3 linked regions of the Alligator mississippiensis genome follow. The protein of the gene in region 2 interacts with the protein of the main gene of each other region in a pairwise test. Links are inferred from orthologs where the notes say so. Each region holds a gene or a part of one and is shown on either strand. Other genes may lie near its edges.

Region 1 (7,982 bases), on a different chromosome or scaffold from region 2:
GCAGGAAGACCGGAGTGCTTTAAGGCAGGCCCAGGCTCCATTCAGATTCCCAGTGGGATTCTCCAGTGTAAGGCGGGCCAACGTCATATGAGAGCAGATGGACAAAGCTGCAGAAAGTACTGGGAAGCTTACCCCAGGAGGCCTTTCCCTGCCCAGCGCTTTGGTGTAAGCCCAAGGTGGACTTTCTCGCCTCCACGGATCACGCTCACACTCAGGGGTTTCTGAAACAAACAAACAGATGAATGGCACCTTTTCCCATCAAGTTGGCTCAGTTCTTTTGTTTGCCTGGCTGCATAGGAGCCAGAGAGCTACCGCACGTGTAACACTGAACCTCTAGCTACAGGGGGGATGTAGGACTGCAGGGAAGTTTCCTAAGTAGAGCATGTCCATGAATACTAGTGAAGTAACATGCTGTCACTCAGCACAGGCTCCTGTGAGAACAAAAAACAAGACCTCTAAAGAGAACGTCTCAAATGTTCAGCACGGGGAGCTTCCATTAGAGGCAACACCTGATGCCTTCACATTACTGCCAGCTCCATCAGTCCAGGAAAGAGAGAAGTTAAGTGTGAGCTCTCTCGCACTGAAGGACCTGGGGGTGGCACGTGATGAAACCAACAGTCAAGCCCAGAAGCTGACACGCAGTGTCTGGAGCAGAGACGTGGGACTATTGAACTCTGCTAAGTATCACTAGAGAAAAGCCCATCAGACCAGAGAAGCCAGAAACCTGCTCACCCCTTCGCTGTGCTGCACAACGGTGGCGATGTTCTGCAGAGTCTGGAAGTTGTGCGCCTTGACAGAGCCAAACTCAACGATCTCATCGTCGACCTGTAATCCCTTTAGAGAGAGAAAGCAGGAGACTAAGAATCTTCCTCCTCAAAGGACACACGGTGCTTAGGGTTTGTGGCGCATCTCTCACCCAAAGCACTAGTCAGCGCTCCCTTCAAGGATCTTAAGACACTTCTCAACATGTGAGCCACGCAAACCCACAGTGAGATAAGGCAGTATTATTTTTTTTATCCTCGTCACGGAGATAAGGAATCTAAGGCATACAGCCTTATCCAAAGCCATTAGCATGTCAGTGGTGCAGCTGGGAGCAGTACAGGTCTTCTGATGCCAGCCCCACGTGCACTTCCCTCACTGGATGCTCCCCCCTGCAAGGTGCTATAAATGTTATTTCACTCTGCAAAGGCTGACATGAAACATTATGCCCCTGGGGGAAAGGTACCAAGCACCTAACAAGAAGTAGGACGAAGAACAGTAGCTCAAACCCTGGCCCTGACTGCAGGTGGGTGGCGACGACCACCGGCCATCTCTGGGGCAGAACAGGGTCCACGGGTGTTTGCTCCCCGGGCAGGAAGAACACTGGACTTGCCGCGAGGCTGGCAGGAGATCCCGGCGTGACAGCGTTCACTCTGGCGAAGGGCTGAGGCAGGCTCTGGTTCTGACTCACTGCCTCGGCTTGTGCCTCTGCCTCGTCCCTGGCACGCTTCTCCTTCTCCCGAGCATGCAGCTGGTGGAGCGCTTCTTCCACCTGCCTCATCACGGCCTTGTGATCATTCTGCAGACCTGGGCGGAGGGAGGTTGTCTCAGAGATGGGAGGAACGAGCACACAGCGTTCCCGCACGAGATGTATTGCCCTGTGGGAATCAGCGCGTGCTCCCCACTACGCTACCAGGTCTGCTATGGCAGGGCAGCTCCAGACTATAAACACAGTCACCACCGAACGCTGCCCTGCGTACAGACTGACAGCTGTTTCGTGGGCCTGCTCACAACCAGTGGCCACACCGCGTGCACAAACAGGGCTCCTTATGAATTAACGTCAATCTCACGCAGGGACAGCCGTGTTATAACAGCGGTAACAACACCTAGAGGTGGATAAACCCTTAGAAGAGAATGAGAGCTGGAGAGATCAACAGCAACGTAAAAAAAATTAAAGCGACCAAACTCCCTTTCCACCAAAGTATTTTCACACAGGGACCGGTTCATCGTAAATCCGTCACCAGGATTCGTTCGAAGGAGACATCACCTAGTTTTCGGCCCCATGTTTGTTGCGTGCATAAGAGATATGACTATTATTTTTATTTATTAAACACAAGGTTTGTTCACAGAACGAGGCGCGTCGCAACCGCTCTGCACGCCGCCTGTTCATGCAAACGGTGTCGCTCACCGACTGCTGCCCTGCCCTGCCCCCTCGTCCCAAACCCGGTTACAAACACACCTCGAACTCGACTCCTCGTCGTTTCTTTATACTCCGAATCGAGCTGCACGCAAAGGGCAAACCACGGCCCCGAGCGCCGCGTCCTCGGGGGGCTGCCACCTTGTTCATCTTAATACCTGAACCTGGGGCTCTAGGGACTCGCGCCCTCCGCACGGCCCGAGTCTGCAGACGTCGTACGTGACTACGTCTATTCGCCGTTGCCCCGGGGGACGCCGACACGAGCCCGTGCCGTTCACCGGGGCCCCGAGCGCGCTCCGCGACCACCGAGCTGCTTACAGATAATGTTGTGCCGCGCCGTGCGCACTTGGTACAGGTCGACGTCTGCCCGCGGGTATCCTTCCGCGTCCACCAGCGGCTCGCTCATCCCGACGCCCTTCTGCTGCAAGGGAGACACGTGGTCGCGCGGCGCCCGGTGCCTGCCCGACGTCACCTTTCGGGGCTCGGCCAGCGCCCGTGTCACACCCCGCCCCCACCCCCCGCACGCACGCGCACACACACACACACACACACAACCCACCCCCCGCAGACACACACTCAGGCACACCCCCACAGGCACGTGCGCACACACACGTGTCCCTGTTACACTCAGCCACATGCACAACCGCTACACACCCCCCCCCCCCACTACACACTCACGCACGCGCACTTGGCCCGGCGCACACTCACGTCCTCCAGGAGCTCGTAGCAGGCCCGAATCTGCGCCTCGATCTCGTCCTTCCTGCGCACCAGGCACTGCACGTCGTGGGCGCTCACGGCCGGCTCCGCCATGGCCGCTGTACTGCGCTGCGCGGCGCCGTGGAGGGGGCGGGGCGACGGCGGGCCGAGCAGGACAAACCGCGCGTCACAGTAAACAACAACGCGGAAGGGGCGGGGCCGGCGGGAGGGGGGGCGGTGACGGTGGCCGGGGCAGGACAAACCTAACGTCGCAGTCAACAACGCGGAAGGGGCGGGGCGGGGCGGGGCGGGGCTGCAGAGCACGTGCGCCGGGCGCCAGGCCCTGCAGGGAGGGGCGGGGTTGCACCTCAGAGGCTGACTCGGTCAGCGCAGCTCCCTCACCCGTGCCCCGCAGGGGGATGGGCTGCCTGCCACCAGCACCAAGGGGCCCGGCTTTGGGGCGTCACCCCGGAGGGCCTGGGGCGACGCCTCGCTTACAGCACGCGGGGGAGAAAACCCCGTACTGTACCGAGGTCGCACCGTGCGCCTACCCGGCCCGGTTACACGTGGGTGCGCCCCGTGCGGCGAAGCAGAGCTGGCGTGGACGAGGCGCGTTCACAATGTCTCTGCCCCGCGGCGCCGTCGGGACCCGCGCGCCACTCCTTCCAAGCTGGACCGACGCGGCGCCGGCCCTCCCAGCGCGTCCCTGAGCCAGCGCGGAGCGAGCTTATTGCAATAATGAGGCATCGGGCAAAGATCGTGCTTTCGGTTGCGCCCGTGCAACCTTCACCCCTGCCCACTCCCAGCTATACGGAGGAGGCGCAGCTGGGCAAAATGCGGCCCAGGGGCCAGATCCGCCCCGCCAGGCCGTTCTGTCCGGCCCGCGGGGCCCCTGACACATTTAGAAAATTAATATTTATTTGCTCTTGGCTGCCTGTCAAAGATGACAGGAGACGGGGGCAGCAGGACCCAGGGGAAGCCGGCAGCAGGACCCAGAAGCACCTGCTTCTGGCCTGGGACCGTGGGGCTGTTCCTGCTTCCCTACGCCGGGGAGGGAAATGTGTCCCTCGACAGCTTGCCAAACCTCGCTAAGCAGCCCTCCACCGAAATAATTGCTCACCCCTTGTCCAAGGACAGAGGCAGGCAGGCTAGGTTCTTTGGGTAGATGTGATCTCTTTTATTAGACCAACTGAGTAGCTGGAAAAAAGTTCGTTGCACACTTTCAGTAGAGACTCCCTGTGCCTGACAAAGGGTGACTGCGCCCGAAAGCTTGCAAAGACCAACAATTCAGTTGGTTTAATAAAAGATATCCGGTCGACCCAAAGAACCGTGCTTGCCAGTCGTGACAACGGTGTTCAAATTCAGCGGTGGTTTGCAAGGCCGTGCAGCCTGGAGAGGCGAAGCCAGGAGTAATTTTGCTGCGGGTCCCAGTGAGCTGGGGTCGTCACAGGTACTGTAGTAAAAAAGACGTTAAGGCTCCCCGATTTTGCAATAACGCTTGAGCAGCAATTATGTGATAGAAGTGTCTTATGACCATCTTATGACCCTTGTGCAAGGTCATAAGGTCTAACGCCTAAGCTGTGGTCTGCTGTTCTTACTGCTTGCCTTGCATCTTTAAATTATCCCTGCCCAATGCCCTAAGGTTATGCTAAGATAAGAGGTTACTAAAGTTTGCTAACTTTGCCACAGTTCCCCTTTCCCTCTGCGCATGCGACAAAAGATTTCGCTGCAGTTCTGCTTTTTGAGTGTGCATGCACTAACCCTGATAAGTCACACTAACCAATAACAAGTTAAGTGCAGCCTACAAGACAAGACGTAACAATTAGGAAATGGTAATGCTGCCAATAAACATCTAACACGTTAAAACTCTATGTTCAATGTAAGCTGTAAAAATGTAATTCCGGGCCGGACTAGTCGTCGACTCTGATTTGAGCTCAGCTCCTGGGTCGAACTGTTTGCAAACAATAAATCTGAGATGGACCCAGCCTGTGTGTGTGTGACTCTCTCCTTGAGGACAATTGGACAAGCCTCCAGGGGAATGAAACTAGCCGTTTGGGCAACAGTACTTCGGTGAGTATTCTGGCTGTGCAAAGCAACCCGGGGCTGAAAGGCGCTTTCCCAGGACTGGCTTCCTGACCCATCCCGGAAAATTTGAAAGTCTTTCTGTAACAAGCACCTGTCTGCGTGGTACTGCCAGTGTTGTCTCCAAAGGACAGTGTGAGTTCGTGCCCGGTGCGCTTTTGCCAATAAACACACAGGGGTGGAGGATCCAACTTAATCTTTATTGTTTCAAGTCTGCGCAGAGAGGGGTGCTTGGCGATCGTTCGCAAAACAAGCGCACCGGTTTCTACCTCTGGATACCTTTTATACATGTTTGCAAGTGTATCGCTCAGTGATTGGTTACAAGCCACTGACATAAGACGTTCTCTATTGAGCATGTCTCTATACCTATGGTTTAGCCATGTATTTCATTTACATACATATATGTTTCATTAACATACTTTTGCTCTGCCCAGGGGTGTGATTTTTAGCATTATAATGAGACCTTTTTCTGAACTTCTTGCTATCTTACAGGTGTCAGGGAGACATTATCCTGCTGGTGTTAGGGAGGCCTTCCAGGAATCCTCCGCATCCCACACGCTGTGCTCTGCAAGCATCTCTTAACACACACGTACCACACCCCTCCCAGCACCAGTAAGTTGCCTTAAGTATTCAGTTAGATATCATTTGCAAAAGCTAGATATACCATCAAAAAGATTACATAAAAAGATTACATCACCAGCATGCTGTTTGAAGGAGATGGTACCCACTACCGACGCGCCTGGGCCACAGTCTGATCTTAGCGAAGTCGGGTGTCAACCCAGAGTATGGGGGGCTGGTTCACACGGCCGTGAGGTCAGAATCGGTTCGTAGTATGCTTTGCTTGGGTTGACGTGGCTAGGGGTTCTGGTCTTGCATTTGATAAACAGCCTCTCCTCTTGCTTTTCAGATAAATACGGGTCCTTTCACCTCCAGGGTCAGTGTTATCGAACTCCCCCCACTCCCAAGGGCAGAATGACTACGGTCCAAACCAAGTAAATAATTTGGTTTAAAATGTTTCAGATTACGAGCTGGGGAAGGTGGAGCCAGGGAGGGGCTTTCGCTCACCCTGCAGATATATTGAATGCATTTGGAGTTGCACTTTCTCTTGGTGCTATCATACCAATCAACTTCCAAAAATGGTGAGACTTAGCAATTATTCAGTTTTCAATTTTGCCATTAATGTACTATGGAGGAAGATCAGTGCATCTTCAGCTGTATTTGTACATCTTGTATTCTGTGAATTTACTGATATATTTTTTTATACTTGGAAAAATTAGACTTTTTTAATCAGCATGTGGAACACAATGCGGGAAACTTGCTTTCTCTAAACTCAGCAGGGAATTTAATATTTGGAGAATGAATTTGCATTTGTTAAATGCTAACATGTATGTATACGTATTCTCTCTCTTTAGACAACGTACACAGACAAAGGAAAAAAGGTAAGAATACAGCTGCATGGACTAGGTTTCCTTCCAAAAGAATTTCTGGCACTATTAATGCTGGACTGATTGTATTAATTTATTACTAATTGATTGCTGGGTGGAATTGAAAGCAACAATGGGCTCTGATCATATAATGTTGCAGTAGGACTTAGGTTCATAACTTCTGCTCTCCATAAATCACAATTAATTACACACACGTTTTTCCTCACTGTTTAGGAGTGAGGAGGAAGAAAGGATGATTAATTAAAATCCAACCCTTCCATGCCTAACCATAAGCAGGACTTGTTGCAATACTTCTCTCTAAATGCTATAAATGTATATTTAAATAGTTTTAAGACCTGAAATAACTTTCTGAAACTAGTGATGCATACACCAGAGTTACAGTTAATTGTTAAATACCATTCTATACAGCACGACTTTTCTTTATATATTATCTTTCCTGCAAACTACACCCACTAAACATGAACAGTGTTAAAAATGATGAGACAGGAGATGGCAGATGTCAAATTCCAGGCAAGGAAGAATAGCTGATGCTCAGCTAACGTTAAGAAATACTGCAAAGAGGTTTGTTAACGTCTCCTTTTTGAGCATGGGTTTTGTCACCTCTGATTTGGCTTCCCATTCGCAGTTGGGTAAGAGCTTTCCTGGAGGAGAATTAATCTTTAACGTGAGGTTAACAAAACCACACTGGATCCAAACAATGGTGGAGGTTGCGCGTAGAGCAGGACAAGTCCTGTTGCTGTTACTGTCTGGTATCCTGCTCCAGTCCAAGAACTGAGAGCAGAGCTCGACTCTCCAGTTGCTCCATTTGCTGCCTTCCCTGACCCAGATGACTCGGACTTGTTCTGTGCGGGGCTTAGGAAGGGAGAATAATTGCTTTGCTTGTTCTGGGGGTCAACTCCCAGTACGGCTTCCCAGCCCCCCCAAAAGTCCCTCTGACTAGAAGTCATGGAAAAAAGCCTTGCTCCTCAGTGGTGACATCCAGACATTTTTTGTATAGACTATAAAACCCCGCGCTCAAATTTGCCGAGGAGTTAATTAACTTAGGGTGAACGAGAAATGCACAACTCTGCCACACGTCTGTAACGGAGCCCATCCATCACGTCTTGCTAAAGCAGAAACAGCCTCAGCCTTAAAGTGGGGTTTTATGGCATTGAAGTATGGCCCAGTCACCAGAATTTTTGTTTCAGCCTGAAAGGGGCAGATTCCTCCACTTTCACTCGATCACGTTCTGGGTTGGAAATGCCAAGCAGGTACGTAGAGACAACTCGCTTGTTTGCATGTGCTGCACCCCACTTGCACAGTCATTGTTTGAAGAGCAGGGGTATGGCGTAGTTGGCGTTCGCTATTGGCTGTCAGGAGGGGAGGATCTGGCATGTGGTGTCGGGACGGTCCCGGGGACGTGTTTTCAATTAAAATCCCATCACTGACTGGCTGGGATGATCCTGAGCAGATGGAAGCGTTTCAGCACTTGCCCCGAGTGGAATGTTCTCCTCGGATGGTCTTTGCACCACCGTTGTGCAACAGGGGGGAGTGGGCTGCTCATCTTGCAGCGGGGAGCCGACGGGTATGTTTGTGTGTGCAGG
Region 2 (7,810 bases):
AGGCTGAAGATATGTCCAAAGCAAGTTTGCCTGCTTGTACATTTAATTTGACTCATTTAATGGCAATGCTGTTTAAGATGCTAGCATTCAAGCATTTCTAAATGGAGGACAGCAGCCACCTTGAGACTTCATGGCCGAACACAGTTAGCATGAGAAGTTTAGATGAATACCTGGTACAGGATTGCATGTTCTTTGCAAAGAAGCCAAAGAACAGACTTCCCACTTGTATTAAAAATGAGCTGACTTGCATAAGATAAGAAAGTTTTACTAAGGTTGACAGCACCAGGGTGAATTCACTAGGTCTCTGCAAAGGTTTCCACTTTGATATTAATTTAATTGCCTTATTAAGAGTAACTTCAGATTCTTCTGGGAACCCTTATCAGGAAAGGAGAATAGCTTCTTTGGACTGAGACCGTTGAGACACGTTGTTTACCTGGCTGCACCAGTAATGAGTCTGCTGTCTTGTTTTTGCAATAGTGACTCCTGTTGAAAACATGCTCTCTTCCGCCACTCCAAATGCTCCATCACTAACCGTTAGTGGTGTTGTTCTTGCAGTGATCATGGCAACACTGATTACTGCTCCACACATTGTCACTAATTATTATTAATATCCTTATTAAACAGCAATGGGATAGCAGCTGTTTGCAGGCTCATCTGGATGCTGCAAGAGACTGTTTAAAGCAACATTTCAGTCAGATAATTTTTCCACCTCCCCCACAAGTCAGATCTACTTGGTTTTGTATGGAATAGCAAACCATGACTCCTGCCAGCTTTGAGAAGCGGATGGGAAAGCACCGAGGCAGTCAGTGCACATTGAGCACTGTAATAACTGCAGACCAGCACAATGAATTCTACTGCCTCATGTAGCATCAGCACAATCACCTGTCCAGAGCATTTATCGTCAAGAACAGAGGAAGCAGAAAAAGCCCAGATTTATTTCCTACTAAAAGGATTAAAGGACGATTAAGAAAAATGTATTTCAGCTAAAGGAGAAGGAACATGAATCCCAGAATCCTTTACTACAGTCAATTTTTTGTCATAAGCCTACGTTATGATGCTTAATATTAATCAAGTGTTACTTTACCCCCAATACTGTATTGTGTTGCAACTGCAAATTATGGTCTGAAAATGCATTGCAGGAAGAACTGGAAGGGACAGAAGGGAAGAGGAGGGAGATGTTTTCAAATGACATTTTCAGCTAGAGTAGTAGCTAGGCAGATAAATATAGGAAGGTCCTAAAGGCAAAAGCTACAGCAGAGAAGGTTTTCTCCACCAAGAATGATAAGCCCACAAGGAGGGAGAGTGCAGACATCAGTACCAGAGGTGCAGATGAAAGGACTGCAGAGAGAAATTCAGGCACATATCCAGAGCAAGTCCACATTTGATTTTAAAAACCTACCCTTTTCAATTAGGGCTTTTGTTATTAAACACCTTAAGCCCTCATTCTACAGCAATTACATGCAAGTCAGCCCACTGATGCCAGACTGTTCTCTTGCACAAAGCTTGAAGGACAGGGTTCTTATTTGAGAACAAAGGTTGTCAGAATAAGAAGCCTGTACAGTTAATAAATAGGCCACAGCAGACTGACACTGTGATGCACCACCAGAGAAGACAGTGTCCTTCCTGCAACACCGAGTGTTCTGAAAGAAATTCAGTCACACCATTTACAAACAGACCATTCAACCAGAAGACTGGAGACATCTGAAGGAGATCTTCCATGCGCCAGAATAAAAACATTTGTTGAAACTCTGGCATATACTTTCTCAGAGACTCCCAAACAGAGAGGCTCACAACATTTGTGCATACTTCTGTGCACGAGTTACCTATCCTGCTTATGGAAGAGGGGGGCAGGGGGCTCCGCCCGCTGATATGGTAGATGCCATTTCAAACCATGGCACTGGGAGAATCATAATCTCAATGCAGCCTAAAAACATAACTTTGTTTTGTGTATATTTCAGAATCTAGGTTCTCCCCTGAAACACAGCCGCGCATCACGCAAGCAGGCTAAAAGCTTTATTTTCTTCCAACTCGGTCATAAAGGTAGGGTTCATTCTTGCAGTTGCGACGGCTGAGTGCGCCCTCCTCGCTCTGACTCCTCTGAGGAGCGCAGCGGTTGGTTCCGACTTGGTGTAATGACAGATGCTGCCAACCCCTCTATAATTGTTGTTGCTGCTGTCACAGCTGGTGCTTCTGGCCTTAGCGCTGGGACAGGCCTGTTATTACACCCGCTGTGTTATTCTCAACATGAGAAGAACGGGTGCGATTAGTGCTTGTCCCCCAAGCTTCCTTGCTTACCGCCAACAATGCAGATGGAGCTGTCATGAGCCGGGGACACCCCGGCCATCCACGGAGCCACGGCTCCAGCACAGGGGTTCAATGTCCACCACAGCGAAGGGGCAACCCCAACCAACCGCCCACACGCAGGCAACAGCCGAGAAGGCCCCACAACATCTACCACCTCCCCCCTTCTCCTCCTACCCCTCAGTCCCGCCCGGCCCCACGGGCAGGGAGCAAGTGCATGACCCCCCCGGAGACTGGAGCTGCCTGACCCCTGACCTCCAAAGTCAAGGGTCAGCCCTCTCCCCAGGCCATGGCCTCGCACCTGCCCCAGCCCAGCATGCAGCTCCACCCCCCCATGACCCCTGACCTCAGCCCAGCCCAAAACGAGGCCCCACCACCCCATGAGACCCCTGCCCCCACATAACCCCAGCCAACCCAAAACGAGGCCCTGCCACCCCCACGTGCTCCCTGCCCCCGCGTGACCTTTGCGCGCTGACCTCAGCCCCGCCCCCGCGTGCCCTTTGCCCCCGACCTGGATGCGCTGTAGGTAGGAGGCGGGCGCGTAGCCCGTCTCGCCGGAGCCCGCGCGCGTCACGAGCCACCAGTGCTGGTTGCTGCGCTCGAGCAGCAGGAAGGTCTCGCCGGCGGCGAACGGCAGCGAGTTGGGCTCGGCCGAGCGGAAACCGTACAGCGCGCGGTACATGGCGATGGCTGCGGCGGCAGCAGCCGGGCCGGGGCCTGCCCGCGCCGCCGATGTCAACACGCCCGCCCCCAACGCGTCACCCCAACGTCACCGCGCAGCCCCGCCCCCGCGCCCGCACCCGGCTTAGGCCCGCGCGCCCTCTGCTGGGCCAGGTCGGATGCGGATAGGGCGCATGCGCACATGGCTCCTGTGGATGGGGGGGGTCTGGCAGGAGGGCGCATGCGCCGAGGCCCCTGTAGAGTCTTCGGGGCTCAGAACTGGTGTCCCGCCTGCAGCGCTCTCCCCCCGCTCCGAGCTAGCACATCTTGGCTGGGAGCTGGGGCCAGGTTGGAGCAGCCTCTGGGCAAGGAGGTAGTAAGGACAGTGCAGTTACCCCCCCCAGGGTTGCCAACCCTCCAGGATTGCCCTGGAATCTCCAGGAATTAGATATAAATCTCCAGGAGGTTACTGAGAGCCACCCAGGAGATAAATGATAGGGCATTCATTACAATAAATGACTAAATGTTGAATCTGATTTATACAGTAGGCCAGTGGGTTTTTTTTTTTTAATGTAATAGGTATGTGCATGTGCCTTCCAGATGTAAAAGTTATTAATGTCGTTACATCACATGATGAAACCTGCTAGAATAGATTCAAAGAGGACTGGCCACCCTACTCCCTGCTGCAGTCACAACCACCCCAGCCAGGCCTAACCTTGACCTATGCAGCAATGACGTAGGTTAAGCATGTGCTGTAGGCAGTGATTGAAAAGGTGCATGGACATAAAGTGGAAAAGGATTGGCCTAGCCCTAAAGCATAGTCAAATGCAGAAAAACTCTGCATTAAGTGTATACGCAGCTATGCAACTTCAGACTTCTCCACAGCTCAGCAAAAAAAAAGAGGAACCAAATCAGCAAATGTCCCCAGGGAAACAGAGAAGCTGGCCAGTGGACCTCTTTTCCACTTGAATCCAAGGCTACTGTATTAAGCACGGTCTTCATTAATACAAGTCTTTGTTATTGTGTATCCATAAAATTTTTGAGTTGTGACTGGAATAGTCTCACTGGTCAGTCTCATTCTCAACCCCAGTTAAAATTTAGAGTAACAGTTTGGCTTCGCTCTTCCCTCACAGCCCATCATTCAAACCGTGCTGAGGGAAAGAATTGTTCCTCTGCCCCAATGCTTTTCCATGGCACTCAGCCTTGTAGTTGCAGATGCTTTGCATGCAATAACTTGTATTTTTGGGGCCCCTTGTGAGAGCCTCTTGTCCTCCCCATGAGAAACTGAGATGCAGAGACAGAGCAGGAACAGTATCCTCAGTTCTTCTATGCACGTCAGCATTTGGGGACAAACAGGACCATGCAGTTAGGGAGCACCTGATAAACTCAGGTTTCTGCAACTTAGTATCACACAGCAGCTTGGGCAGTGGCAAGATGAATCCAGTTCCGTGGGCAGCATTCAACTGGCTTAAGCATCAAACCATCCTTTCCTACACCCCTGCTTTATTTGCCTTCCCCCTCCTGCAACCAGTGAGCCAGGAGTCCTGAAAATAACAGCCAGCACTGCAAACCCCACTGACTCACCCCCAGGACAGGTTCACCTCATGCACTGACAGAGGCAGGCAATTAAAGGCCATACAATAATGCACAAATCCAAATAGGCTAAATAAGAATTGCACAGGCAACCATCCTTCTGGCATGGCCCACCTTTGGAGTGCTCAATTTAATGATGTTCATAAGCTTGTGTGTGTCATTTCCAAGACTTCAAAAAGCAAAGTGGAAAGAAACTCCAGCACATGACTCCATGTGACACATGTCATACTGGCACAGGGGCTGGAATCTGAAGATCCAGCACACACAGATCTCCTAGCTGAGCTCCTCCAAGTAAACCACAGCTAGAGAGGGATGAGACACTTTGCCAGAAACTTGCTGGCAGCAGAGGACTGGTGTGACTCAGGAATCTTGGTGCCCTTTTAGGATTCAGGGGAAGTGCACTCAAGTGGTTCAGCTGTCTGTGTCCCCAAAGCCTGACCACCATTTCCAATTATGTCACTGTCCCAGTCCCACCCCTAACCTTTTCAATCCCAACCCATTCTCATCCAGCCAGGCCCCTCTCACTGCAGTCTCAGTCTCCTTCCCTTGCATATCCTAGTCTTCCCTTTCCTGATTCCCACTCTCCCCCTTGCTCCCAGGACCCATCTTCATGCAGAGTACTTCCCAGTCTCCTTGCCCACCTGAGCCCTCCTGCATCTGTATCGGAGCTGCCTCTCCCCTGACCCACTTCCAGTTGCTCCCCACTCCTGTCCATTGTCTCCACCTCTGCTGAAGGCTCTTTATCTAACTTCAGCATTCCCACAAAGGCCTCTGGGTCATGTGCCAGCCTCTCTCCCTGGCTGGTCCCAGTTCTCCCCTGTACACCAGCGTTTCACGAGATCTCTCTCCTATCACCTTCTTCCCTATTTTCTCATTCACTGGATCTCAGTTTCTCTCTCTGCCCAGACAGTCCCCAGCTCCTCATCTCAGTCATGCCCCTACCTCCTCCCATTTCCATCACCACACCAACACCCAGTCTGACTGTCCATTCAGCCCCTACCAGCTCCTCAGCTCAGACTTCCTGCTGCTCCCATTTCCAGTCTGACCAGTTCTGGTCTCCCCAAAAAATGCCAAGTCCCATTCCCCCCCACCCCAGGCTCCAGTCCCTGTTTCTCTCTCCAAACCTACTCTTAACATCCCCCGCACCCCAAAGCTCATCTCTTATTTGCAGCTTGTTCCTGTGCATTGCCTAGGCCCAGTCAGGAAACTCTGAGATTACAAGACAAATGAACTGCTTGCTCTCAAGTCCTGTGACCAGACACAGCACAGCCCATGGCTGCAAAGAAAGGAAAAGACCTGCTTAGTGCCCAGCTGAAGCATGGCTGTTGTAGACAGTCTCTTCAGGGAATTTGGTTGTGTAGCCTAAGTAAGTCTACTGACCATGGTGATTTTTCATAGGCTTATAACTTGACCATGGATGGATCTGCATGGGGATGGGAAGAGAGACATCCCTGATATGGAGACCACTCCATTCGAAAGTTGAAGTACCTGCTCCAACCTGGTGCTGTGAAGGCTCCAGAACAGGTTGCCAGAATGTTGTCATATGGTCCAAATAATGTATTTTCCCCCAGCCTCGTTCATGAATACAGCTGGGGAAAAATATCAGCATGAAGTAGATGCTTAACAAAGAAAATTACAGCCCAAATGGCTAAAATCTGGCAAAGCTATACACACCTGAACACCGAGCCTTAAAATAGCAACCTGCCTTGCCTACAACAATCTTCAGAGGAGACAGATCAGGACCATCTCTGTCCCCAGCCTGATAACAAAAGAACAAGGACAGCAGATAGCACTGAAAGGCAGTATATTCCAAGGTGATAAAAGGAAAGTTTTCTTTGTGTGGTGCAACATTGGACTGCAGAACTCGTTGTGGCAAAACCACCATCGTATCAGGAGTCAGAGAGCAGCTGGATGTTTTCATGGACAGAAAAGATACCCAGAGGTTCCCAGAATTAACACTGAAATAAAGTTTAAAAGGGAGATGATATCTCTTGCTTGGGGGTGCCCTACAGAAGGAGATTCTCTGGGGGGACAGACTGCCCTATATTTGGGTACTGCAGGGTTTCTCATACCTTCTTCTGATACCTGGTGCTGCCTGTGGCTGGAGACTGGCCTGTTTGTTATGCAGGTAATCACAAGCCTCCTTCAGTGGTTAGAGGGAGGCCACTGACAACATACATAACAATTGAATACTTGGGACAAAGGATGAAAAGATAGGAACAGGTCAAAGGATAAGAACAAGTGTTCCAGGTAGGGACATGGGGCAGAGAACACCAGCTAGCACCCACTGCCCCTCAAACATATCTAAGCAGTCTGTGGATGCTGCCTAGTGAAAATATCCAGAAATGTGCACAGACAAGGGAAAGAAACACCACCCTACAGTCACCTGGGTCCCCCCCCCCCCCCCCCTTTCCTTGTCTGGCAGATAGTAGATGAATTATTTGCCAGGGCTTGGGGAGGTAGACAAGAAGGTCCTGGGACTTGGTGGGGTGACGTATGGACAGAGTTAGGATCCTGGGAGGTGGGCTTTTAGCCAGCATGGCAATTCCCAGACTCTGAAGTCAGAGCGGGCCGCTGCCAGGTGCACTTTGTCAGCAGCATTGCACAACATGGCAGGAACCCCATCGTTCCATGACAGGATGAATGGCCACAACATCATGCAAGTGCCACGTTGTTCACAGAGCAGCAACGCTTAGCAAACAATGCAAGGAGCCAAGGGATGGTACAGGGCCCTGAGCAAATACCCAGCAGAGGGCAGCAATGCTTCATGAAACATGCACACACGAGCACAGGCTTCACTGTTTCCTGTACAAATATTTTGAGGATGCCATGAGCCCAATTCTGCTCTCAGATTGATGCAACAATGGTATGGACAGCTCAGCGTGACACTGAGACGGCCCAGGGAAGCTATGCACCTCCGTCCCGCTGGACTTACTCCTTGTATCATGACCATTTCTTCCTTTTCATTGTTGCGATACTGCCTGATACAGGGAGGTAACCTGGCTGGTGGAGCAGCCTTCAATAGGTCCCCCCAGGTCACTTCACCAGCCAGCCTAGCCAGAGCACTGTGCTGCCAGGGCATCCCACCAGCATGCAGTGCAGGGGCAGTGCAGAGGAGCAGAAGGGCTGTTCCAAGTGGAGACGGAGTTACAGGACACAAATTTGGCAGCCCCACCACTGGAGGGGCCCAAGATGGCAGAGGGGAAAAGAAGCATCTTCACATTGGCAAACAGGGTCTAAAGGGAAAAAATAGGCA
Region 3 (7,884 bases), on a different chromosome or scaffold from region 2:
GAAACAAAATGAAGGACTTTGAAACAGCCTTGAAATGAAATGAGGCCAGTCAAAATGTTTCAAAAGTTTTGAAATATTTTGAGTTTCAAAGCCGCAGCCAGGTGGCGGGAGGCAGGGGAGAGCCAGGGCTGTGCTCCCAGCGGCTCCACAGCCCCATGTAGCTCAGCCAGGCAGGAAGAGCAGCCCTGGCATTCCCCACCTCCCACCACAAGGCTGCACTCTGTGGGGCTGGCAGAATTGATGGAAGTGCACCGTTGACTCTGCCTGCCTCCCACCACCAGGCTGCACTCCCATTGGCTCGACCCACCCCATGGAGCCCAGCCCAGGGGCAGGAGATAGGCAGAGCCAGAGCTGCACCCTGCCTCCTGCCACTGGGCTGAGTTCCACGGGGCTGAACCACTGGGAGCTGAGCCTGGTGGAGGGAGGTGGAGTGCAGCACTGGGGCTGCACACTACCTCCCTCCACTGGGCAGCAAGCCACTAGGCGCTGAGCCCAGTGGAGGGAGGTGGTGCACAGCACCAGTGATGCATGCCGCCTCCCGCCACTGGGTAGTAAACCACTAGGCGCTGATCCTGGTGGAGTGGGGTGGAGTGCAGCCCCATTGCTGTGCGCCACCTCTCTCGAGCAGGCAGCAAGCCACTAGGCGCTGAGCCCAGTGGAGGGGTGGTGCACAGCCCCAGTGCTGCATGCTACCTCCCTGCACTGGACAGCAAGCCCTCCACCTAGCAGCTTGCTACCCAGTGGAAGGAGGCAGCATGCAGTACTGGCACTGCACACCACCCCCTCCACCAGGCTCAGTGCCTAGCAGCTTGCTGCTCAGTGGAGGGAGGCAGCGTGCACCCCCAGCACTGCATGCCAGCCCCCTCCACCGGGCTCAGCATCTAGCAGCTTGCTGTCCGGTGGAGGGAAGCTGGAGCTGTGCTCCAACTCCCTCCACCATGCTCAGTGCCTAGTGGTTTGCTGCCCAATGGAGGGAGGTGGTGTGCAGCACTGGGGCTACACTCCACCTCCCTCCACCAGGCTCAGCACCCAGCAGCTCTCAGCCCCATGGAACTGAGCCTGGTTGGGGGAAATGGAGTACAGCACTGGGGCTGTGCTCAACGTCCCTCCACTGAGCTCAGCTCCCAGTGGCAGCATCAACCTCCCACCAGCACCCCTAGGCAGTCTCTGCTGGACTCCTCCAGGGGGGTGGGCGAAACTTGAAACAGCATCAAAATAGCAAAACTGTTTTGACGAAACAAAATTGAACAGTGCTTTCGAAATGAAGTTAAACTCAAAACAAAACACTGTTCCATTGAAATAGAAGTCGAAGCGAAACAGTGCTGTTTTGCATAGCCCTAGTAAATATGCTACAATCACACCTTAACTTGCAGTGTTGATACACCCAAAAGTGGCTGAATTCATGAGCTGTGCATGTGAATGGCATAAAATAGGAACGGCGAGTCTGATTTTTTCAGCTACCCCAAGTTTAGCTTGAGTGCACCTGAGGAATGTTGGGAGAGAGACCGGTAGCTCCATGTCATCATCCCACGTCTTGGACCAGCAGTTGCTAAAGCATCTCAGGTGAAACGTTCTAGGACAGTCTGAGAACTGTTCCAAGCATTGTCAGCTGCGTCATCAAGACCTTTTCTGGTTCAGGATCAGGAGAACATAGGATATTGTACTGCACTGTACTGTCTGCAGGGGGTGAGTAGGCAGTGTAGAGCCATTTATGTCAGCTATTTACCATCTGCAGATCCCCTCATGAGGGCACAGCTTGGCTCAACTGTAGATAGTTTTACCCCACTCTGCACTGTTAAACAGCTGTAATTAGGGTTGAGAATTTGGCCTTATGTTTTATTCATTACCATTCCCTTCCCCACTCCAAAATCTATGCTCCTCTTTTCATTAAAGTATCTGCTCCTTTTTCTTTAATTTAGTGCCAAGTTGCTGTACTTCATGTTTTAGCCAAGAAACTTTACCTAGAGAGTGATCAGCATTAATCACAAAACCGACTTTTCAAGAATAAAGTGTGGGAGAGAAGGAAATGTAGGTTTGTTTAATTTGACCAATCTGTTTGGTTATGGTTTGCATTTAATTTTTGATATCCAGCTATTGAGGAAGGAAATAAAATGGCATTTTTAAGATTTCAGCTTTGAGTCATGTTTCCCAGGCTAATTGTCAAGTAACTGACAGATCAGTCATGGCTGACAAGTGAGTAATTGGAAGAAGAGAGGGAATGCAGCAGGTGTCAGTACTAATTTGGTAAAACAAAAAAAAACTTGAGTACAGAGAGTAGTATGATAGTCACTTACACAGTCATGACGTTACAAACTTTTCATACAAAATGTGTGCGGGATTTTACAATGCTGAAAGCATTAACCATTACTCAGACTTTTCAAAGGATCACAGGGTTGTTTTAGAGGAGAGCTGAAAGATCTGTTGTACAAGATGTGCCTGAGCTCCCTAATTATTAACAGGATCTAGGTAGGGGCTTAATAAATATGAGCTCGAAATACCCATGGAAGGAGGAAGGAATATCCTTATGGAGTTTTCCAACATTGTTCTGTTAGGCAAAGCTGCTTCGTTTTCTAAAATGTTTTCAAAGTCCATCTGAAAGCCAGCTGGAATCTGCAAGCAGTCATAACCATCTTCACAGAGGATGAGTGCCAGCTCCATCAGGCTAACATCTTCTTGAAAGGGTCTCTCACATTTGTCCCTGTCCCTTCTGTCTCCAGGTTTGACCAGTCCCTGCTTGATAACCCCTTCCTCTAACGTGCTTAAAGCTCTTCCCTTTCCTTGGTGAGATATTCTCTCTGTGAGATGTATGCCATGGCAAACCCAGACTCTTGGAGCCAGTGCAAGGATATTTAGAAATGTTCTGTCTGGCTCAAGAGAGGAACATTCTCAGATTTTAACATTCAAAAGTTTGTAAATCAGTTCCTACCCCACTTGTTGCCAAGTCAGCCATTCTGACATCTGTATTTCCTCAACTCAATCTTAGCTGACTAAACTAGGGGTTGGTGTGCTTCTTCTATTTTTTTTTTTTTTTTTTTTTGACAGCTGTAGCTCTCCTACCTGCTACCAGCGAAACAAAGAATTGTGTTGGCAGGTATGTAAAGTTGTGCTCTGAAGAGACTGTACAAAGCAGCATCCTGGTGTCCTATGCTTGTTGTCTGTTAAGGATTTCAGTATTGGATATGGTCCATTTTCAAGGAGGAAAGTTTCCCTCTGCTCCCCGTCCACCAACAACTCCATCCCTGAAAGCTCCCCTGAGAATTCAAAATCAAGGTCTGTTTTTTGGCTTGCCGGCTTTTGTGTCATTACAAAGGCATTAGAGTCTGCAGGCTAAATTCTGCCCTGACTTCCACTTGTAAAAATCCTATTATATGGTGGCTAGACAACTGGCTCAGTAGCCACAAGTCACAATTGGGTAATTTAAAATGGATCTGTGTAGTTCTAGTAATAAGTTAGGCAAGGATTTGTATGGGATGTTTTGGATAGGGATGATGCTGCCTCAGGCAGGAGGTAGGACTAGATGTTCTCCTGGGGTCCCTTCCGACCCCAGTTTTTTTATGCTTCTGTGATTCTCTTCCTATTCTGCCTTCATTTACACCTGCAGCCAACTTCAGTCAATTAACTGGAGGGACCTGCAGCAGAGCTTTGATTAACTATCCTGTTGCTGAGGCAAAGGCCAAAACAGAATTTGATTCACTCTTTCTAGCTACAGGACATGAAAGCAGTCAAAATGTTTTTGTGTCAAAGGCCAGCAGATACACCTTCAAGTGTACAGAGGTAACAGATCTGCTGAGTGCCTTCTTTACAATGTCACTTGTCAGAATACCATTACAGTTAAAAGGAGAAATTAACTTCAGCTAATGTTCTGATTCATATTTCAGGGTCATATATTTCCTTGATGTTGTGAAGGGTTGCGAACTGTGTTTAGCACACCTTGGAGGAGCTGAGTACGGGCAAATCCTAATGATTTTGTGGCACTTGAGCCTTCATGGGATCAAGCCTTAAAACAGTGTGAAAAGGGAGTGAGAAATGCATCCCACAATAACATGACAAACTGAAACAAAAATACCCGACTGAATCCCCTTTAAATAAAATGCCGCCAATTCTGTCCTATGTAGCAAGATTTGTGACTGCAAAGACAGAGGATGAAGTGTCAAATCATTTTGGAAATGCACTGGACCACATCCTCAGCAAGTGTATACCAGAAAGTCACTGACGCTACATTGATTTACAGTTACAGAGGATCTGGCCACTAGGTGTAAATTTTTGCTAAGCACTAACTCATTCTCCTTGTGTCACATGTGACAAACACTAGCCTCCACTGAGCAGAGAGGCTTCCCACTGCCTCACTGGACACCACCGTTTATTCACATATCCAGCATTATCACCGTGGCAACCTCTGGGTAGAGGCTTTGTGCATCTTGGATGCTTCATTCGACCTTTTAATAGCTGCTGCCATGCCTGATTCCATGTGCATCACTCAAAGATGCTCTTCTGCCTGCATCTTCAATGCACTTCCAGGTTGGGGTAATATCATGGAATGTGCTTTGTCCCCTGCTAGGGAGGTGTTGGGGAGAAATTTTTGTATTCTGAAAGTGCAGCATGGTTTGATCTTTAATGGTCATCTCTGGTGGGGACACAACTGTATTTTGTTCTTTTTCTCTGAACTTTATATCACACAAACACCCCAAGATGGATAGGAATATTGAGTGAACAGCTGCCCATCCTTAAGTGGTGCTGTGCTCCAAGATCCTCAGCCTAATTAAAAGGTAATAGAGGTCCCAAGCCACATGTGCTGCTGTATGCATTTGTGTGCATTACTTTCTTTCACTACTATGACAGCACATGCTCTTACAAAGCTATTCAAGGCATTAGAAATACAACTCCTCCCTCCAGTGCCCCATGTGTGTGAGCAGCTCAGGCTTTCTGCTTCAGCACACTGCCATTTGATCACTGGGCTGACAGTCACGACTCTGTTCTACACCTTCAGGCTTCACAGAGAAAAGGAGGACCAAGAAAAACACAGAAATAGGCACATAACTGACCTACAGAGCCATCAATAACTTAATTCCCTTGCAGCAGAATTACATAGGGGAAAGAGAGGAAAAGAGGGGAGGAGGAAAAGGAGGAGGAGGAGAAGAAAAAAAAAATCCAGAGAATTCTAGCCTTGCAAATATAGTCAAATTGAGAATGAGAGGAGTTCATTTGCTCTAGAAGAACAGGGAAGAAAGAACAGATTAAATAAACAAAACAGGAGAAGATTGTAGCTCCCTTCACGATAGCAGCAGTATTATTACAGAAGTAAAATGATTCCTCCGTGCAGCACTACTGAAGTCAGCGTGGATAGCGTGGAGAAAGAGAATGAACTGGAGAATACAGATCAGCCCCCCTCTCCAGCATCTACTACCAGCCAGGAATCAAAGGTATTTCATCTATGTGATACAAAAATGCACGTTATTTTCTTCTTTGCTGATGGTGTATGTTTTTAAGTTGGAATTCTGAATTGGGATTTGAAATAACAATTTGCTGTGGTTTGCTAACCTTAATAAGTATTTGTAGTAATGATTATGTTGCAGAATTCTTACCTTTTTACCTAGGCAGTTCAAGAGGTCAAACTGAAAAATACCTGTTTTTGAGATGTTGAGGGCTTTCTTATAAAGGAGGAAATCAGTTGTTAAATAATATATAACCATTTCCACACTTGGCATCAGAATGTTTAAAAGGTTTTCACTTATTCATGCTTGGAAAGACTGATTGAGTAGCAGGTTCAGTGAGGAGGTGAATTTTTTTTCTTTCCTAAGAGACCCTTCAGTGAACTTTGGCATTCACTGTTAAACAAGTCAGTAGTTGAAAAGGGGCTTAGGAAATCCTTTTGGCTAGGAATCTCTACTCATACCACAGATCATAGATTTTTTTCACCACCTTTTATCATTGACCTGGTTCAACTTACCCAGCTGAAAAGAGTCATCCAGTTCCACTTTCTGTGCTCTTACATTTTTAATTGACTCACACAAGAGAAGTTTTTCAGTCGACCTGTGTTTTGTTAGAAAAAGAGATGTGAATGTAACATGGTAGACTTACAAAACAGTAGTTTCAATATCTTTATTATTCACTAAACAGGCGAATATGATCCTAATAGTTATTTATTATTTGTACAGTTGGGGCACCTGGGAGCCCCAGTCATAGACCCTGACCCCATTAAGCTAGGCAGAACAAACTATAGCCCCTGCCCCAAGGAGCTTACAGCTAGATTGGGCATTTCAAAATGACCGTGTCTGTTTTCAGCTAATTAAGCAGCTAAGCTGGACCTTGCAGCCACATTTAAATTAGATGGCTCTTTCAGCCCATTAAGCAAAGAATATGACATCGTTCTGCAGTACCAATTACTAATCACTCTAGCAATTTCATAAAGCATAACGATAATGTTAATTTGAATATTTTTGGTGTACACCACTGAAGAGAACAAGGGATTCCCCTAAATAAATGAGTGCCATCAAAAAAAAGGGAAAGGCCCCCTGTATCTACAGTAAGAACTCAATGCTGTAGTAAGCTATCAAGCTTTGGAGCATCCCTGTAGAATGCAGTAGTGTTTTTATAGAAGAGGAGAAACGGGGTTATACAGTAAGCCTCTGTTCCCCAGAATATTTGCTTGGCAGGGGCTGAACAACCTAACTCACAGAGAAATCAGTGGGAGTTGAAAGCACCTCACAGGAATTGCGTGGAGCCAATCAAAGTGCTGGACGAATTCTGTGAGGTCCTGTGTTAAACATGTGAACTGCCACCAGGCCACTAGGACCAGATTGTCACATGCATTATATTGTGTGCTGGGCCCTGGCCATGGCTCCTTTCTGCAGTGAGATACTGTCCTCAAGCAGTGACATGCAAAGAGATATAAATCTTGAGGTTTCACTTTGTGTTTACAGCTGTGTGCAAGAGGCACTGAGTGAATGGGTCCCAGCAGCTTCATGACCAGCAAAAGCTGAATATTCATAACCTTAATATCAGAGAAAGCAAAAATCTTGCATACAAAATTATTTTCTTTTAGCCATCCATTCATAGCAGTCCTACCAATGCCAATGAAACTTAAGGACATCTGGCAAGACGGCATGATACTACTAAATGATTCACGACCTAACATTATTATCTTTGGCTTTGCTGGGCTCACATCTATGAGTACTTGAAGTGATATACTGGAACAAACGTCTGTGCAGTTTAGCAGCTGATGCTATTATTTGCATGTAAATACAGTGTACATATAATGTTTATAGCATATATAGTGTATGCTGGGGATTTAGGTATTATCAGAAATGACAGGGTATTCTCCTTTTATATTAAAAGCCAAGGAGGTTTCTGTTTGCTTGGCATGTTGTGTTAAGAATGTTTTAGCTTTAGTAAAGAAAGGAACAGTTGAATTCTCAGGTTTATAAGGATAACGTTTGTGTCACTTTTTATTGAAGAACACTTATACTTTTAAATCTATTCTGTGACCCCTCCATATTGACGGTTGCATGGGATCATTGACACTATGCACAATAACCACCTTAATATCAAACAGGGAATCCTCCAGCAGGTTAAAGACATCTAAGAAACATACATAGGACTGGAAGGGATATCTTGATTCAAGAAGTCTATGTCCCTATTGCAGGCAAAAATGATCTAGAATCTCATGAGGCCAAATTTCAGAAAATGAGTTTTAAGCTTGCATGCACAAAAACATGCTGAGGGGATGACAAGGAAGACATACTGGAGTACCTGACTAGCATGTGGTTGAGATTCACCACTTCAAGCAATGGGAGAAGTAGCTGAAATTCAAAAGGATCTATTAGGCAGGAAACAAATGGTGAAAAATCTGACTTCTAGCAATGAAGATTTGTGCAAGCATTTGAA

Evidence for each region.
Region 1: the proteins of NCKIPSD (region 2) and PSMD9 interact in binary tests that used the Homo sapiens proteins (3 or more experiments, as listed by UniProt). The two-hybrid records come from large-scale screens. The link is inferred for Alligator mississippiensis from reciprocal best matches to the Homo sapiens genes NCKIPSD and PSMD9.
Region 3: the proteins of NCKIPSD (region 2) and STAC interact in binary tests that used the Homo sapiens proteins (3 or more experiments, as listed by UniProt). The link is inferred for Alligator mississippiensis from reciprocal best matches to the Homo sapiens genes NCKIPSD and STAC.

What each region holds. Positions count from the first base shown.
Region 1 is NC_081833.1:2,812,635-2,820,616, reverse strand, and holds the start of PSMD9 (26S proteasome non-ATPase regulatory subunit 9), read right to left. Parts: upstream 3,052-7,982; 5' UTR 2,987-3,051; coding exon 2,885-2,986; intron 2,598-2,884; coding exon 2,495-2,597; intron 1,567-2,494; coding exon 1,373-1,566; intron 835-1,372; coding exon 733-834; intron 222-732; coding exon 133-221; intron 1-132. Other genes in the region: HPD (4-hydroxyphenylpyruvate dioxygenase), read left to right, coding at 6,091-6,093, 6,367-6,393, 7,587-7,649. UniProt on the Homo sapiens protein: Acts as a chaperone during the assembly of the 26S proteasome, specifically of the base subcomplex of the PA700/19S regulatory complex (RC).
Region 2 is NC_081835.1:20,265,310-20,273,119, forward strand, and holds the start of NCKIPSD (NCK-interacting protein with SH3 domain), read right to left. Parts: upstream 3,048-7,810; 5' UTR 2,984-3,047; coding exon 2,813-2,983; intron 2,338-2,812; exon of another isoform or gene 2,323-2,337; coding exon of another isoform or gene 2,296-2,322; intron 1-2,295. UniProt on the Homo sapiens protein: Has an important role in stress fiber formation induced by active diaphanous protein homolog 1 (DRF1). Induces microspike formation, in vivo. In vitro, stimulates N-WASP-induced ARP2/3 complex activation in the absence of CDC42.
Region 3 is NC_081828.1:131,724,637-131,732,520, reverse strand, and holds the start of STAC (SH3 and cysteine-rich domain-containing protein), read left to right. Parts: upstream 1-4,833; 5' UTR 4,834-5,303; coding exon 5,304-5,420; intron 5,421-7,884. UniProt on the Homo sapiens protein: Promotes expression of the ion channel CACNA1H at the cell membrane, and thereby contributes to the regulation of channel activity.